Linked DNA regions of Notamacropus eugenii. The protein of the gene in region 1 purifies or fractionates together with the protein of each later gene. This does not show direct contact. Links are inferred from orthologs where the notes say so. Each region holds a gene or a part of one and is shown in the gene's direction. Other genes may lie near its edges.

Region 1 (11,066 bases):
TTCCACTCACATGTAAATACCAGTAAAGAATTCAAAGGGGTGCCATGTACTAGGTGTGTACATGGGGCAAAGCAGTAAATTCCTAAGTGGAGACACTAGGAATCTTTTTATTCCTTGACAGATTTTTCATGAAGGTTTCCTTAGGTGTAGTTCTCTGCTATCCATTTGTTGCTGGGCCTGGCTGCTCCCCTGCTTGTAGGCTGGGAAGAGGGAAACACCAGCTATCACTGAGTTTAATTACTTCTGGGCTAGGATGATCAGCTGCACCCCCTGTAATCTCTCTTGTTCTTAAGATATCCACAAAGTTGCTTCCTGAACTCATCTAGTTCTCTTCTTTTATATAGTCATAAAATTTTTTCTCATTAGCCATGTCCAAAAAATAAAAAAGAAAGAAAAATAGAAAAAGACATGAAAATATGCTGTAATCTGTACTCAATGCATCAGCTTTCTATCTGGAAGTGTATAACATGTTTTATCATGAGTACTTTGGAATTGTGATTGGTTATTGTATTGATAAGATTTCCTAGGTCTTTCAAAGTTGGTTTTCTTTGTAACATTGTTGTTATTGTCTAAGTTGCTGTCTTACTTCTGCTTACTTCACTTTGTGAACACTGAGGAGGAGATATAGTCTTGTTTAGGGACCCAACTTGTCTCCTAAAATGGGAGCTGGGTTAAGGACTCCAGTTTCTATAAAGGCTACATCAATGTAGTAGTATTATTGACTGACAACCACTGTCATTGCAGACCTCCTAGTGTGACGGAATGGTCCCACCTAATCAGTGTCTGGTGGACCGGAGAATGAAAAGGTGAGGGTGATGGAGAATATGTTAATATTGTTATGTCACAAGCATGTTAAAATTTATAATTAGGGAAAAAGTAATGGAGAATCCACTTTTATAATTAGCTTTCTTCTTGACCATTCTTCCAGCTCTTCCAGAGCTGGTCTGCTTGCTCCTTATAAAGGCCACAGGGGTGAAAACTAGTCATTCTCATCCAAAGGCCAACACATTGTAGTGTTATTGGTTCTTCATTCACACTTTATTGTCCTGTTGTTTAGGTAACCCCTTATTGTTCAGGAAAATTCCTAAACATCTCCTTTACACAATTAAAAAAATGTTTTCTTTTTCATCTGTTATTGCACACACTCTCCCTCTCCTTTGTAAGTTTTCTTGTGCTTTATTATATGCCCTTTTTAAAAATAACCTAAAAGGTTGGTGTGCTATTACTGGATAAGAAAGAAACTTTTTAGCCTTCTCTTAGCCATAGTCCTGTTGGTAAGGAACATAGAAGAAGAGTGAGGGGGGAATAGTAGTGCCAGCTATCTAGGGCTTGGTGTCTTCAGTGTAAAAGGCTATCACCCTACATGTAAATTGGGAGGGTTATGTGGTTTAAAGGGAGGCAAAATAGACATCTCTGTCTTCCTCTCCCCCCACTCTTCTCCAAGGGAGACTATTTCCTGCCAGGAGGAGAAGTAGGAGTTTGGAGCCAAAGCTTGGCTACTTTTCCTCAGAGAAGGGGATTCCTCAAATAATTATTTTTCTAGGGGATATGGTTTTCAGGTTCAATCTAACTTCTGATCATTGTTTCATCAATGTGGGAAGCAGGACCCCAAGCTTTCTTTATATTTAAAGATTAACTCCTCACCAAATATCAATTCTACAGTGAATACATATAGGAGATAACAAAAACCAAAACAGAAAAAAACAAAAAAAAAACCCCAACAAAACCCTCATTTATCCAAGTGAATAGAAAAACAGAAATCAGAGAAAGAATAGATAGGAGAATATATACCAGATAATACAGTGAAGGAATTCTCCCATTAGGATTGAGATAACTCAGTTCAACTAAGAAAGAGTCCTAGATTTCATCCAAAGGGGAGTTCCTTGAAGTCTTCAGTGTAGCAAATTGGGGAAAGGCACATAAGGAAGACTGACAGCTCCTACAGTCTGTTTTTTCCCCAGCAACCTTAAGTGGGGCTGGCATCTTGAATCTTCTCTCTCTAACCTAGAAGGCAGAATTATTCAAAGCCTGAAGAGACTGAAAAATCTGAGAAAACTTAAGAGATTGATGAGGTCTCTACTTTCCCACTTCAAATCTGCGGGTACAGGGCCAGTGATTTCCACCAAAGAGAAGAGTCACATCCTAATAGGTTTGGGGATTTTGGTTACGTAAGACAAAGGGGGTGGGAGAAATCGGCAATGGTCACTTGCTCTTTGACTCAAACTATAGTCACATACTGCCTCACAACTGCAGCTAATCATGCCTACAGGTCAGTTAATAACCATATGTATGTAACTTTTGAGTGGCACACTTTGGGGGATTTCTCACTTCTGCTTATTGTTACCAAAGAGATGATTTTGGAAAACTTCAGTATCTAACACAGTGCCCCTCCCCAAGCCCATGGGTATAGTTAAAAACTCTCCTTTTAGCTCATGGATTCACAAAACTCAAAACATGAATAAAGTTTTTTAGCAGTTTATGGAAAGCAATAATGAATGCTTTTGTAAAGTCTATAGAAAAATAGAAATACCTAGCAGTAAGCAACTTTCTTCCAATTTCCTTTCTAAAGGGTCTTTTGGTCCTGGGACAATTTTCCTTGGGTAGTCAGGGGTGGTGGTGGGGGGTGGGGGGTTGTCCCGGGTCTGTCCCCGGGACCTTCGAGTGAGAATCTCCCTTCGGTGGGCACCGCTTCGGACGTCTCCGGACCTACCCCGGGGGACACGGCGGCAGGCAATAATCAGGAAATGCGCAGGAGGTTCATAGCTTTATTGCATGGAGGAGTCCCACGAGCAGTTCAGGGCGTTGTCTTATATAGGGAGGTTCTTCCGGGCTGCCATCCTAACCCGCCCCGAGGGCGAGGCCTACCACCCGATTGGATCCAGCCCACCCGACCAATCCCGTGGGCTCACAACTCCTCTATGGAAGCCGTGTCCCCCTCGGATTGGTGGGCTGCCACTCCCGGGGAGGCCCCTATCCGCCCAGGCGCCTAGGACCGACCCCCGTCAGGGGGTGGGGGTGGGGTCTCTTCAAATTACCTGGGAGCAATTTCCTAAAGTATCTAGGGAAGGAAGGGAACAATAACATCTTGTCTTTCACAATGTTTTGTAATCATTGCTACAAGATTATTGACAGGATCACCTAGATCTACATGGAAAAAAAAGTTCACTCTCCTCTAAGTTTTGTTTTTTTGTAAATGGTGGCATCCTATAGACACAACCTAAGTCAAGGAAAAACTCCACTAAGCTTTAGTACACAGCAATTTGACCAAATTCTAGTTTTGGTAATTTTATTTTGCCCTCATAAATGCCTCTCTAATTTCAACAAGCTAAAGAACAAGCATGAATACAGAAGGCTGTTTCCTATCAACAATTTTCTATTTAGTAGGAGTGTAATTTTTGTTAAATCTTAATACTTTCTGTGGAATATCAGGTTCTTCAGTAAGACCTGACACCTATGCAAATGAATATGTTGACAAACTATTCAGACTAATTTCAGCTACTTTTAAGAAGTATTTAAATAGTTACAAGGTTAATTTATGTAAAACTTTGTTTACCATTGGAGTATTTCAAAGCAAACAATGGTAACATTTATTTTATTTATTTAGTCCCAATATGGCCAAGGAAATATTTCCTAAACTCTTTTAGTTATATTTATTGTAGAAAAATTCTTAATTTGAAACTTTGTAAGGTGTCACTCTGGCAAGAGATTGAATAATCTATCATACTTCCAAAATAGAGAAAATGCTCTTAGGCTTTTGGAAACAATTATTTATATTTTTGTATATTTATGTATAATATTATTTATATATTATATATTTGTATAAATTTTATACTGATATAAATATTATAGGACTTAATAGTACATTAAAAATGCTGTTGCTTAATATCTTGGCAAAGAATACTGGAGTGCTTTGCCATTTCCTTCTTCAATGTGTCCCAATTTTACAAACCAAGATCGGAGGCAAATAGGAGTTAAATGACTTGCCCAGGGTTGAACAGCTAGTTCAATTTGACAGTAGATTTGAACTCAGATCTTCCTGAATCCAGAACTGATGCTTTATCCATTTCACCACCTAGCTGCCCACCTTAAAAATAGCTGACCTCAAAAGTCTACCCTAACCCAAAGTATTTTCTTTTTCTTTTAATACCATTTTCTTCCTCATGCTCCACCTGGGTTTCTCCATGGCACTCATCCAGACTTGGCCTCATTAAAAGTTATGTTAGTGTGTATGTATCCTCTAGATATTTTTTCCTTTACCTTACTTCCTTGTCAAAAACAGTTTTCAGCATGCCATCTCTTGGAAAGTTCCTGAAAAACTAATTTACACTAAGCTTTAACAGGGACTGCATGTTTCCCAGGAATTCTGGATATCTTCCCAGTGACAGCACAAGGAATGAAATTCTTATGTTGGATGTCCAGGAATCAGCATCAGACCAATAAAAGGCACTTTGGAAGTGGAGGTCCCAAATCTAATCATGTAAGCAAGGACTTTTTCTACCTGCCAGGCAAGCCCTGATGACATATGTTGATTACTGTACAATGGAAGTGGACCAGAATGACATCACTATGTCAGGGTCAGTGTATAATGTGTCTGACTGGCTGATCAGACCAATGCAAGCTTGGAAGACTTTACCACAGGTAGGGCACAAATAGTCCATATGAACATTTGTAATGGAGATATCTCTAAATTTTGTGTATCTCACTTTGAGTGACTGCAATTCTGCTTTGCTCATGGAGCACACAGTACCTTCTTTGATTCCTACATGCCACGATGGGCAGCCCTGTGCCAGAGTTTCTCATATCTCCCAAATGATTCCAAATGCAAAATGTTACTGACAAGTTAAACATAAATAAAAGACACATTCATTTTGGCCAATGGCCTTATGTGATTGGGGTTTGTTTCTTTAGTTTGAAGGTGACACCTCTTCTATGAGGGTGCTAAGCACTCAATTAGCATTAAGTACCTACTAGTGCCAGGCACTGTGCTAAACTCAGAGGACACAAAGGAAGGAAAAGACAGACCCTACTCTCAAAGAGTTTATAATCTGAGGGGGTGGGAAAAGAGACAGCATGCAGACAAGCATTTACATATACAAGACGAACAGGAGAATCTTGGACGGAAAGTTCTACCTTCTGTGAACTGCGACATTAGCAGCTGTAGCTAGCTTTGTTGTTGTCCGGTCACCACAGCTTGCCAATGCCGTCCACAGGGTTTTCTTGGCAAAGACAATCAAGTGGTTTGCCATTTCCTTCTCCAGTGGATTAAAGCAAACAGAAGTGGTTTGCGAGGAGGGATCTGGTCTTTCTGACTCCATATCCTGCACGCTAGCTGGCCGGTGTAGCGGCCCCCTTTAGCTATCTACCTTTGTTAAATTTAGGCATTGATTCCAAGTCCTCTGCTGGTGGGGCTAGGCATTATTACGGTGCCAGTTCTGCCAGGTATTTGGTTTCTATACAAACCGAGCCACTACTTGGAGGACAGCTGCTAACCCCCACAACACTGCATTACCCTAGGACAGTCCACCACACTCTCCCAGTGCTAAATTTGAGGGTCCTTGTCTTATCTTTGTTGTTAAATCATCAATTAAAAAAAGTTTTGCGGTCTGTTGCCATCACATTCAGAGACCCCACCGCGTGAATAGCACATGGGAAAGTTCGTCCTATTTCGTTGAGGAGAAAGGCTGGTGCTCCGGGAACCTCCCCTAATCAAACCCTCATTTATATTTGCTCCTGGCTTCATGCCACGTTCGTGTTTTCAATGCTAGTATTATTTATCTGGTTTTTGCGTCACTGACAATAAGGCATATTTCAACACACCAAGTACTGCGGCCCTTCTCGGAATACAAAGTGTTGGATTAGAAGTAAGGCCTTTCCATCTCCCCTCCCCCACCCCCCCCAAAACAACAAAACCGCCAAAAGAAGCATCCACCCCCAAATCTAATTATATATAGTTCCTTCTCTGGAAGAGGTGGGTGCCTGGCACTCCAGAATCAGCCAGAGGGTTTTCGCGAAGGCTTCCAAAGCCTCGCGTGGGGCCGATGCGCCCCGCCCAACATCTGTCCAACCGACTTTGCTCCTCTTCCCGCCCGCCGCCGGCCTGTCGGCTTGCCGGTCCTGCCGCTATTACAAGTTCCAAGGTGCACTGCGCATCGGGCGCCCCAAGGAAGACTCCGACTCCCAGCATGCTCCACCCCCAATGGCTAGGTCTCTACACTCCGCCCGCCTGGAACGTTGTATGCTGGGAGTCGTAGTTTCTGAAGGCGTCTGCCCCAAGTCGTTTCCCTCGCATCCGTTCCTCAGCTCCAACCCTAGAAGGTGTCACCTCCGTGCGGACTCCCAGATCCCGCGGATAGGGGAGGGAAGGGATTGCTTCTGAGCACAGGCATCTTCAGTCCCGCGGAAACTCCGCCCCCTTTTCCCTCCCTTCCCCCCGCCCCACGCCGCGACATTTCCAGTTCCACTGACAAGAGTCCCAGCAAAGCTTTCGGGCTGCAAGAAATTTATAGAACACGCGGGAGCGCGCAGGCGCGTGAAGGCCCATGTCACATTAAGGTTCCAAGGGCGGGACGGGCGAAGAGGAGGCCCAGGCCGCCGCGGTGGCGCGCACGCTGCACGCAGAGGAGCGTCACGTGGGGCAGCGAGGATCGCAGTGCGCGTGGCCGCGGTGGCTGGTGTGGGGTTGAGTCAGTTGTTAGTGGAGGGGGGGGAAGCGACTGGTCGTCAGACTGCCCGATCCGCTGGCTGGAGCAGGAAGCGAGCGAGCGGTGAGCCCAGGCTGGTGACTGTGCCCTTCTCACAGCCCCGGCGCTTCCCCCACTCTCCTCCACCTCGGGCTCCTCCCACTCTCCCTCCCCCGGACACCCCCCTCCCCCCCACCGGGCAAACCGCCGCCTCGGGCGCGCCCCCGCTCCCCCTGCGCTGTCTCTCCGATGGCGGCCGCTGCCGGGGCCATGGCAAAGCACGAGCAGATTCTGCTCCTCGACCCGCCCACAGACCTCAAATTTAAAGGTAGGTAGCGAGGTGGGCCTCGGCGAGGGGAGCGGGGAGGTCTAGGCCGTCGGCTCCGCTCTTGGGGTGCTTTCCCTCTTCCTTTTTTTTCGGTGGGGGTGGAAGGTTTGACGAGGAGGAAGGAGCGTCGTCCGCCCCCCTCGCCTTGTTCGCCGTGTTTCTGTCCGCGTCTCCCAGCTTCTTCTCTTCTTTCTCGGCGTCAGCCTTTCCTCTCCGCTCCCCTCCCCCGCCCGTTCCCACTCACTCAGTTTCACGCGCGCGCACGCCCAGCTTGTGCCGGGGGCTGGGGGGGGGGGCGGAGGAGGCCGAGGCCCAGGGAAGGGAAGGGAAGGCGAGCGAGCTCGGGGTGCCGGGACCAGGCGCCTTGGCCGCCATCTTGGGATCCCGCCGGGAGGCAGCTTGTGGGTCTTGGGTTCGCGGCGGTCGCTTCTGTTCCTGACCTTCCCTCCTTGCGCCGGGGGCTCGTTGGGCTTTCTTGGGGCGGGCGAGGGAGGCGACCTCGGAGCGTGTGCGCCCGGGGGCTCCTGCCAGGCCCGGGGGTAGCGCGTGCTGCTCCCGCGGGCTCGGGCCGGGGCGGCTTGCCGGGCCCCTCGGCTCCTTCCCGGCGCCCCGTCCTGAGGTCCGCTCTGCCGCCCGGATGCGGGCTGGGGGAGGCTGAGGAGCGGGGGGCTTGCTGACCTCCTGTAAGTAGTGCGCCAGGGGAGGGGGCGCATGTGTCCCTCGCTGGTGCGGTTTTGCCTGCCCATTTGTGTTCCAGGGTTTGCGGTTCCCATAGAAAGTCAGAAAGGAAACTTAGGAAAACTCCTTAGTTCAGAGGCTTTGTTGTAAAGTAATTTCGTACCAGAACCTTTGGTTCTTCCATACCTTAAGAGGGGAGACATCACGCTCTTAAAGGACTTGGCATCTGAAGGACCTGGTGGTTATAGGCGCCTTGCCCTAGTTTTGGTCGTCCTCTTCCCTCTAACTCCGCTGTGGGCTTGGACAAGTCACTTACTTTCGTGTGTAAAGTGAGGAAGAAGGATGAGTGTCATTGGACTAGGTAGTCTTCCTTCCACCTGCTGTCTTCAATGCTAAAGTGGTACTAGTGGCTAGGGTTCTTCCACGTCTTTTTTCTGGTGACCTTAGGAGACATACATCTTAACATTAGTGTCTCCTTTTACCGCATTATGGCCTTGAACAAATCACTTCCAAGTTAATACAGGAAATCACTCACAGTCCGAATGAGGGTCAAAGGCGATAATGCTTGGGACAGGGACGTAGAGATGATAGATATAAATGAGCCTAAAGTTGTAAAAATACCTGAAACTGTAAATGGACCTAAGTTGGTGAGAGTGGGCAGAATTATCTTGGAGGTGATGTCTCCGGTACTATTTTCTGTTTGCTATTATTGTAGGAATCTAGGTGCTCTTTGGGATATCAAACATTGTTTAGGGGACTTAATGAATGAATGAAAAAAGTTATTAAGTGTTATTGGTGTCACAGGCACTGTGCATTAAGATCAAGGAAGTATATTTTAGGTGTTACATCTAAGGCATGACTTAACCTTGTTAAATAGTTAAGTCCTATGTCTTTTTAAAAATTCAATTTTAAAAATTCCGTTTAGTTTAAAAAAAAATTAAAGTATTTCAAAGGGTAAAATGAAACGTGATGAATCTGTTATGTTCTGGGAAGTGTCAGGCCAACAGGAAAATACTTGCATTCCTGCCAGCAACTCATCACAGGAAAGTTAATATAGCAAAGTTGCTTTATACATCCAGGAAATTCGTTTTATGAAGCTTTGGTGTTAGGATACTATTACACAACTAGTGCTTGGCTTTTTACACTGGATTATTTTCTGTGATTCTATAGAAAAGTTATGTAAGCAATTGAGTAAGAGTTTTGTTTCAAGGCAAGTATGAGAAGATTTATTGTTTTGAGGAGTTATGGGACACCTCTGGAAAGAACCAGGTTATGTATATTGTATTCATTCATATGGTTTTAATTAAAAAAAAAGACCTTTCCTGAAAGCCTGAAATTACATCAATAGCCACCTGCTGTTAAAATATTTTGATGTAATCTATAGTGGTGAATACTTTTGTATGTATGTTTTTTTACTTTATCCTGTTGCTTTGGTAGCCTGTGTTCCTGAAATAATATTGTCTATACAAGATAAAGTCTCTTGTGCTGCCATCAGTCTTGGAAATTAGTATTAGGTGAGAAGCTGCCTTATTGGCCAAGTTGGAGGGTTTCTTATGAGAAAATGTTGCTGTTGGGATGAAGAAAGGGGACCCTCTCACCTGAGGTGAAAGGCCCTTGCTTATCTTTTATGCATTCAAAACTGGACCTGTGCTTCCAATGTAATCATAAATGTTTTGAGCATTTAGAAGTTATTTTTCAAACTTAGGAAAACATTGTACCCTTCACTCCAATAAAAGAATTAATCATTAAAGATGGATGCGTTCAGTTTGGTTTAACTGGACACCAAGAAAAATAGAGAAAGCCTATTGTCTAGATTTTGCTATACAATCCGTAGACCTGGTCCACAGATAAATATATTTTGGACTGATGCTGTAAATGGACCTAACTGAGGAGAATAGGCTAGATTACCTTTGAGATGTCATATATTTAGTTCTTTTGATAGTCTGAAGCTTCTCTTTAACAAAGGCAAATCTTTTTCACTGAAGTGTAAAGCAGGTAAGTGGTTCAGTGGGTTATAGTACAAGCCTGGAGTTGTGAAGACATAAGGTCAAATCCTGACTCAGACACTTCAGAACCATGTGACCCTGGGCAAGTTACTTAACCTGTTTCCCTCAGTTTCCTCATCTGTAAAACAAATAACAATAGCACTTAACTCTTTGGGTTGCTGTGGGGATCAGTGAATTAATAACTGTAAGGCATGTACTTAGCATGGTGCCAGACACCAGCAGTCATGGTAATAAATATTAGCTATTGTGATGATGCTATATAACTGCACATTATGGAATAAATTTAGTGCTTGTCCAAAGGACATTCAAGAGGCACAATAGTGGGCACATTATAAATGAATTCTAGGAGTAAAGTGTGCTGTCAGATGATGAAGCGCCAGTTATATGGTGAAAGCAAGAGAAAAATTGACAGCCTGACTGCTCAGTTGGTATCTGTACAACATCAAGAGAAAGAAAAGCATATTGAGTGGACTCCTTGTGGTAAATTTATGTGTCTCTATGCATAAAGGATAGCAATTATGAATGGGTTGAGATCTGCATCCTTGAGGGCAGTACTACTACCTACATTGAAATTCTGATGTAGTAGAAAGCACTGGGAATCTTTAGTCCTGAATTCAAATTGTTGCTTTGCACCTTATTCCTTGTGTGATTTTGGGCAAATCACTTAACCTTTTTAGACCTCAACATTCTCTTCTTTGCTTCCAACTCTAGATCTGTTATACTATTGTCCTTTATGAAAATGTGGCCATTCAAACATTAGATCTTTGAATTAATGATGTGAATTTGAGGACTAGTCAGAGTTTTGACGAACTTTTAAAGAAATTGTAACATTTGACCTCAATAGGGGGATGGCCTGTTTGGGTATTCACTTATAGGAGAGTTGTCTTCAAATGGGCAAATACTTATACACATAACTAACTTAATATACTGACCAGTATATTAGAATATTAAAAGAAATGGGTAGAACAAATCGATAAAATAAGTGCAATTCTTCAATTTATCTTTTCTGTATTTTTGAATACGCTTTTTAAATGATGCTGTAGCTGAAGCTTGAACCATTTGGGGAAAAGAGGGATGCATTTCCATTAGGTTTTTTATCTGGTTTCCCCCCCAATATTGTGCCCAGAATGTACTCAATCCCCTGCTAGATTCAGCTCTCTTTGAGCCTTTGAAGTAATTCATTGAGACTACTACAGACCCTCTTGGGTGTTACATTGACCAGAAGTTGGAGACTAATCCCCTATATAGGGGACTATATAGGTTTCTTAACCTCTCTGAATCCCAGTTCCTCATCTGTACATTGAACTAGGTGAGTTCTGGTATCCTATCCAACTCACATGTGATCCTGTGAATCATTTTCTACCTGTTTTCCTA
Region 2 (6,859 bases), on another chromosome or scaffold:
TACTCAAACATGGAAACTCTAGTAACATAGCTAGAGAATGACCCTAAAATATAGCTACTACATATGGCAAAGGCACATGGTCTTGTGTGCTGATATTAGAAACAGCACCCCCACACCTTACCCCACCAGCTGCCATCTTCAAACCTAATTTTGTTGTTTAGTTGTTTCAGTCATTTTGTGACTGACTCTTTGTGACCCCCTTTTGGGATTTTCTTGGCAGAGATATTGGAATGGTTTGCTATTTCCTTCTCCAACTCATTTTGCAGATGAGGAAACTGAGGAAGACAGTGTTAATGACTTGCCCAGGGTCAAACACAGCTAGTAAGGCCATATTTGAACTCAGGTCTACCTGGTTCCAGGTTCAGTACTCTATCCACTGTCCCACCTAGTTGCCCAAAACCAATCTGAATCACATATTTGGAGTTGGAAGGAACTTTTGAGATCATCTAGTCCTTGGATGTGGAACCTGCGGCCTCAATGCCACATATGGCCTTCTAGGTCCTCAAGTGTGGCCCTTTGAATGAATCCAAACTTTACAGAACAAAGTCTTTTATTAATGGGATTTGTTCTGCAAAACTTGGACTCAATCAAAAGGCCACACCTGAGAACCTAGAAGACCACCTGTTGCCTCAAGGCCAAAGGTTCCCCACCCCTGAATTCTAGTCTAACTCTCGAATTATACAGATAAGGAAACTGAGGCACAGCAAGGTGAAATAACTCATCTACGAACACAGAGCTAGGATTTGAAACCAGGCTTTTTGATTCCAATACCAAATTTTAATTTCTAATATTCCCTTTTGATGCTTCCAGAAGGGAAGACTGAATACAAAAGACTCATAACATTTTAGAGCTAGACAGGATTACAACATTTAGAACTGAAAAAGGACCTTTGAGATCAAATTCAAATCTCTATGCTTACAGATTAGGTATTTGCTTAGAGAGAAGAAGAGACTGTTTAAGATTGATAGTCATTTATTGGCATTGTAGGGAGAAGATCCCAAGTCTTTTGAGTCCCAGAATCTCTGTCCAGAGCACTGCTCATTTCAGGCAGTACATCAGTCAGTCTATAACGATTTATTAACCATCTGCTATATGCTAGGCATTGTGCTTAGCACTGGGGATACAAAGAAAGGCGAAAGACAGTCCCTGATCTCAAGGAGCTCACAAACAGGAGAGATACCAAGCAAACAAATATTTGCAGACAAGAAAAGTACAGGATAAATTAGATGTAATCAATAGAGGGAAGGAACTAGAATTAACAGGGATCCGGAAAGGCTTTCTATAGAAGGTGGGGTTCTAGCTGGGACTTATAGGAAACCAAGGAACAGGGGATAAGCCCTACTTTTCCTTTCCTGCTCCCTTTTTCATTATATTCCTCACTTTCTGCTCCTTCTTCCATGTTGGTGCAGATTCCTGGGAAGGTGGTAGTGGGAAGCACATATGTATAAAGAGAAAAGATTCCATTTCCTTCAAGTGATATCTGCTACTGCCCAAACTCATTCTGCCTTCTATTTAGCGTCACACTCCCTAAATGGGTGATCAGGCATAATCCCAGGGTTTTTCACTTTTCAGGGTTAGGAAAGAAAACAGCAAAGTCATTGGTTAGTCAATCGTTCAACTCTAGGGAGTATTATCAACCCTATTCTCCCTTACCCATCCACCTATCCCTAAGATTACTAAGCAAATAACTAGAATCACAGTGTTAAATCACTGAAGTCTGACCTAAGACAACATCAAATTGCCCTCCTGGCTCCCTCCTCTTTACAGGTTCAGAAACTGAGTCCCAGAGAGGCAACACTTTTTAACCAAGTTCACACATCAGATAGTGGCAAAACTGGAGTGAACATCCAGGGCTCCTAGACTCCTAGTCCAGTACTTTTTTTCACTACAACATACTGCTTATTCACCAAACTTCTAAACCCATCAGCAATTCACTTCATAAGTCTCTGGGTCTGGCTCCATGTCAGGAGAAGCTAGGAGGAGGTAACATGAGTCCCTGCCCTCTTGAAGCTCATCACATGTAGTTCAATGTCTCCTTCCAAACTAGCTTTGTCATTAGGCTGAGGAGGGACAGCCCAGAAAGCAAGTCCATTTTTTAATGGGCTTTTCTAAGACTCTGGTCAATTAAACCCCTCCCTGCCCAGGCAGCTGTTTAAAGGAGGCTCTAGCCATCAGATGTGGCAGCTGCACCACCCCATAATCCAGAGCCCCCAAGCTCCAGAGACGCCAAGGCCTCTGTCCAGGTAGCTGAGCTTGCTCTGGAGCTGAGGTAAGCCTGTCCTTAGGGGACCCACCCTGAGGATCTGTTCCCCTTAAAGTGATGGCCTTCAGAGGCCTCCACCAGGGGATCTAGCTTCCCTTGTGTAAAGTATGTTAGAATAGCAACGGTGAGGGGAATCTGAAGCATCTCAGGATTGGGGAACTGATCCTACTGTTTAGTCTTCTTTTCAGTCATGTCTGATTCTTTTGGGGTTTTCTAGGAAAAGATACTGAAGTAGTTTGCCATTCCCTACTCCAACTCATTTTACAGAACAGGGTTAAGTGATTCACCCAGGGTCACACAGCTAAGAAGTGCCTGAAACTGGATTTGAACTCAGGTCCACCACTTGTTTCCATTTCACTACCTAGCTGCCCCAACTGATCCAGTAGCAGCATCTAGAGTTGTTAAATCATAAAACTTCAGAGCTGGAAGGGTTCTTAAGCATCATTCACTCCAATAATCCAATCTCCATTCTACAAATAAAGAAACTGAGGTGGATGAAAGTGGTCTTCTCAAAACACAGTGAGCCAAGCTCAGAACCAGGTTTCCCAACTTGAAAGCCATTGCTCTTTCAACGACACCACTTTTAACTGCCAAAGAGAAATAGCACCACAGACCTACAGCTGGAAGGGATTGTAGAGATTATTTAGACCACCCCTCTTCACTTTACAGATAAAAAAACAGGGCCAGAGAGGTGAAACGATTTGCCTAGAGTCATCCAGATGGCAAGCAGCAGAGAAAGAACCTGATCTTCTAAGAGGAAGGTGTCTTTTTTCTTGGCTGCACACCTGGGGAGGTGGCTAACACCCCCATCACTGGGAATTAATGAAAACCGTACAATCAACCTCTATGGAGGCCCTGCCTCTGATCCTATGCTAGGTCCTGTGGGAATGCCAAGACTGGAGGCCCTCAAGAAGTTTACAGTCCGGGGAAAATAACACAAGCCAATGCAGCTGTGGAGTAGTGGGGAGTCCTGGAGGGAGACTTGGGAGGACTGAGGTCTAATCTTGGTTCTGTTTGCTACTGCCAAGCTGTGTAACTTTGGCTGTCACCTCCTCTCTCTCTGGGTCTCGGTCTCCTTAGCTATAAAATGCCGGGCTTTGGAATTTTCAAACGAGGAAACTGAGGCCCGGAGTGGTTCATCTGCAAACTCCTCTCAACGTCTAAGATAAATGAATCCCCAGGAGGTCCTGGGGTCTGTAAGCAAGCCTGTTCAGCGTGGGGCAGAGGTGAAGCGAAGTGGGCTGGCTGGTCCTGGGCTGGGAGGCCTTGCAGGAGGAGCTGGGACCCGCCAGACTCCCAGCAGCCGCATCAGGCTCCCTCTCCAAGGTATGGGGGGGGGGGGCTGGGGGAGGAGACAGAGGAGGGGGTTAAGGATGGGTGCCGGGAGGGAGGAGCAGGGCCGGGAGTGGGGAGGTGTTAGGGGACTAATCCCCGCGGCGTTCGGGAATGGGGGGCTCGGCTTCTCCCCTCCGCCCCTCGGATCGCAGACGCGGCGGGAGACACCGCGGGTGACTCAGCTTCCTGGGTCCGACTGGGGCAGGCTCCAGAGGCACCTGAGAGCCCAGAGGGCGGGGCCACGGTGCACGTGACCGCCCCTCCCCCCCGCAGGTGGGGCCGGGCGGGGCCGTGACTCAAGCGGCTCCTGGCGGCTTCCGACCCGTCGCCTCCCGCCTGTCATTCGCTCCGCTTTCCCTGGACGGCCAGCGCTGCGTGCCCTTCGCCGGCGCGGCCTCTTGGACCCAGGCTGCCGGGGAGAGCCGGGGTAAGAAGGAAACCCCCACCTGCCCGGCCTCCTAGCTGCCCACCCAAAGGCTCCATCTGCCCCCTCTGCCGCGGACCGGCCGGCGCTTGGCCGTGCTTGGAGATCCGGGCTGGCTGTGCTGGCCCCTGGGAGCACCGTGGGGGGTTTTCTGGGGGTTGGGGGAAGGGACGAGAGACCAGGCCGGAGGAAGGGGAACACCAGGTCCGGCCCCCCACCTAGAAGCCCCCTCAGACTTCCAGCCCGTCCAGCCCGGACTGCCCTTTCTGCAAGCCCTTATTCATACTCTCCGTCTCTTTCCCCAAACAGGTTCCCTATGGGCAGAATGCAGGTGAAGCCTGTGCGTGCCAACCACTACCCGTCCTACTGGGCCATCGCTGGGGGGTCAGGCATCTGAGCTCCGGATCCGAGGAGCAAGAAGGAAGGGGGGGGAGAGAAGAACACCTTTGGCCTCCGGGAAGCCCCCTCCTAACCCCTAGTTTAACTCTGCTCCAGCTCCCGCCACCCTTTCCTCCTTCAGGCCTGACTTGACCAGTGTATGTACCCCTGGCACAGCCATGGCGTACTCCCAGGTGCAGTGCCTGGACGACAGCCATGTGAACTGGCGTTCTAGCGAATCGAAACCTGAATTCTTCTATAGTGAGGGGCAGAGGTTGGCCCTGGAGGCCCTGGTGGCCAGGGGCCCCGAGGCCTTCTACGAAGTTCTCAAGAAGGAGAATATCCGGGACTTCTTGTCCGAGTTGGAGCTCAAGAAGATCCTGGAGACAATTGAGGTCTATGACCCAGGGTCTGAGGACCCCCGGGAACACAGAGGCCTCTGTGAGGGCTCTGGGCCCGATGATAAGGAAGAGAATGGAGAGGGAGGTGGTGATGCTGATGCTGATGCTGATGCTGATGCTGACCTGGTCCCTTCCTTGGAATACTGGCCACAGAAGTCAGACCGCTCTATCCCGCAGCTGGACCTTGGTTGGCCCGATACCATTGCCTACCGTGGGGTGACCCGTGCCAGTGTGTACATGCAACCTCCCATCGATGGACAAGCTCACATCAAGGAGGTGGTCCGGAAGATGATCAACCAGGCACAGAAGGTGAAAAGGGATGGGGAATCCTGAGGGTGAGGGAAGGGGAATAAGGGCTAACATGTATATGGAGCTTTAAGACTTGCAAAGAGCTTTACAGATATCTCATGTGATCCTCAAAAAAACCCTGGGAGCTAGATGCTATTAGTACCCCATTTTACAGGTGAGGAAAGTGAGGCAGACAGCAGTAAAGTGATTTGTCCAGGGTCACACAGATATTTGAGGCCAAATTCGAACTGGGCTTCCTAATTCCTGTCCCTGGATTTTGCCACCTAACTGCCTTTCAGGAAAGATAGGATTCCTGGATTTTCTTGCACAGTTCACTATATGTCATTGACAGAAATGTTTCCTTAGAGGTCAGGAGACAGCAGGCTTCAGTTTCAGGGCACTGAGGGGGAGAAGAGACAATGATCTTCAAAACTGAGGGAATGCTTGTTAGACAAGAATGAGAGAGAATCTCTTATCTTTGAACTGACTACTTTCACCTCCTACCTACTCCCCTTTTGCATTAAGATGCCAGGGATGCCTTTTCAAATATCTTTGTTAATTCATATCAGCTTTCTCTTCCTTTCTAAAAAGCCTTCCTGAGAAAATTCGGTAGCTGAACAGATTTTACCTTTAGGCAATGGCACAGTGTGTGTCTGTGTGTTCCTCTATGACATAGTGAATAGTAAGAAAGCTCCTGCCTACGCAGATGAGTATTTGATGAAACCAGGGTGGGTGTGGGCATGACTCAGATCACAGTAAGGTCTGAATCTAGGATTTGGGACCAGAAATTCTCCTAGGGTGTCCATAAACATGTGATTTAGACTCTAGAGGGCAGCTGGAAAATAGACAAACTCATCCCAACTGTGACTAAGATGAACACTGTAGTCTGAGAAAAACAGTGTATTGGGCTAAGGGATTGGGTCTAGGTTTAAGTCCACACTTTGCCTTGGTAGTGCTGGGTGATCTGAGGAAGTCACTTGACTTCTCTGGTCCTCTGTTTCTGCTTGGGTAAATTTTAGGATACAGAGTAAATTTATAGTCTGCTTCTGGAGCCAGGGGATTTGATGCTGACTTGGCATGGGCAGGCCAACATTTCATTACTGAGTTGAGGACTGGACAAAGGTAGCAAGTTGCTGAGTAGGAAGAGTCAGAGACTTCAGCAAAGGATATTTAGGCTGAATCTTTGTAGAAGCTGAGAGTTGAAAGGAACCTGAAAGATAATTTGGCTCCACCTCTGCAAGTAAGGAGGTGGAACATGATACAGACTCAGCTTCCCTTCATTTTAGTTATACTCTCCAGTTCAAAACACAAACTCCTTCAACTGAGATCTGAGATTTGTTTTTTTTTTTTAGCCTTACAGAGCATATTGAGTAGCTTTCAAACCCTGCCTGCACTTTAATTCTCTGTGTGTATGTACGTATGTATGTATGTATGCATGCATGTGTGTGCGTGTGTGCATGTGCACACACAAACAAGCTATTAAATAGGACTTTCCACTTAAAAGAGGTCTTGCTTCAGCCTTGTTTGGCTGTAAATGAGCTGCTATTTTGGTCACATTTACACTTTGAATAATAGGAAGGAGAGCTCCCAGAGCCCTTCAGGATCACTCAGTCCACTCCCTTTATTTTCACAGATGAGCAAACTGAGGTTCCCAGAAGGTTACTCAAGTACTAAGTGGAAAAATGGAGATTTGAACCCAGATTTCCTGATTGCAAATCCAATACTCTTTCTCTCTGCCTTCTGGTGCTTTTTAGAGATTGGGGTCATCCT

What was found.
Region 2: the proteins of VAPA (region 1) and FAM83G purify together in Homo sapiens (co-immunoprecipitation; 3 studies listed by BioGRID and IntAct, counting the BioPlex papers as one, with this or other methods). This does not show direct contact. The link is inferred for Notamacropus eugenii from reciprocal best matches to the Homo sapiens genes VAPA and FAM83G.

Annotation. Positions count from the first base shown.
Region 1 is NC_092875.1:233,201,000-233,212,065, reverse strand, and holds the start of VAPA (vesicle-associated membrane protein-associated protein A), read left to right. Parts: upstream 1-6,617; 5' UTR 6,618-6,929; coding exon 6,930-7,008; intron 7,009-11,066. UniProt on the Homo sapiens protein: Endoplasmic reticulum (ER)-anchored protein that mediates the formation of contact sites between the ER and endosomes via interaction with FFAT motif-containing proteins such as STARD3 or WDR44.
Region 2 is NC_092874.1:320,030,533-320,037,391, forward strand, and holds the start of FAM83G (protein FAM83G), read left to right. Parts: upstream 1-3,859; 5' UTR 3,860-4,025; intron 4,026-4,331; 5' UTR 4,332-4,579; coding exon 4,580-5,110; intron 5,111-5,126; exon of another isoform or gene 5,127-6,859. UniProt on the Homo sapiens protein: Substrate for type I BMP receptor kinase involved in regulation of some target genes of the BMP signaling pathway. Also regulates the expression of several non-BMP target genes, suggesting a role in other signaling pathways.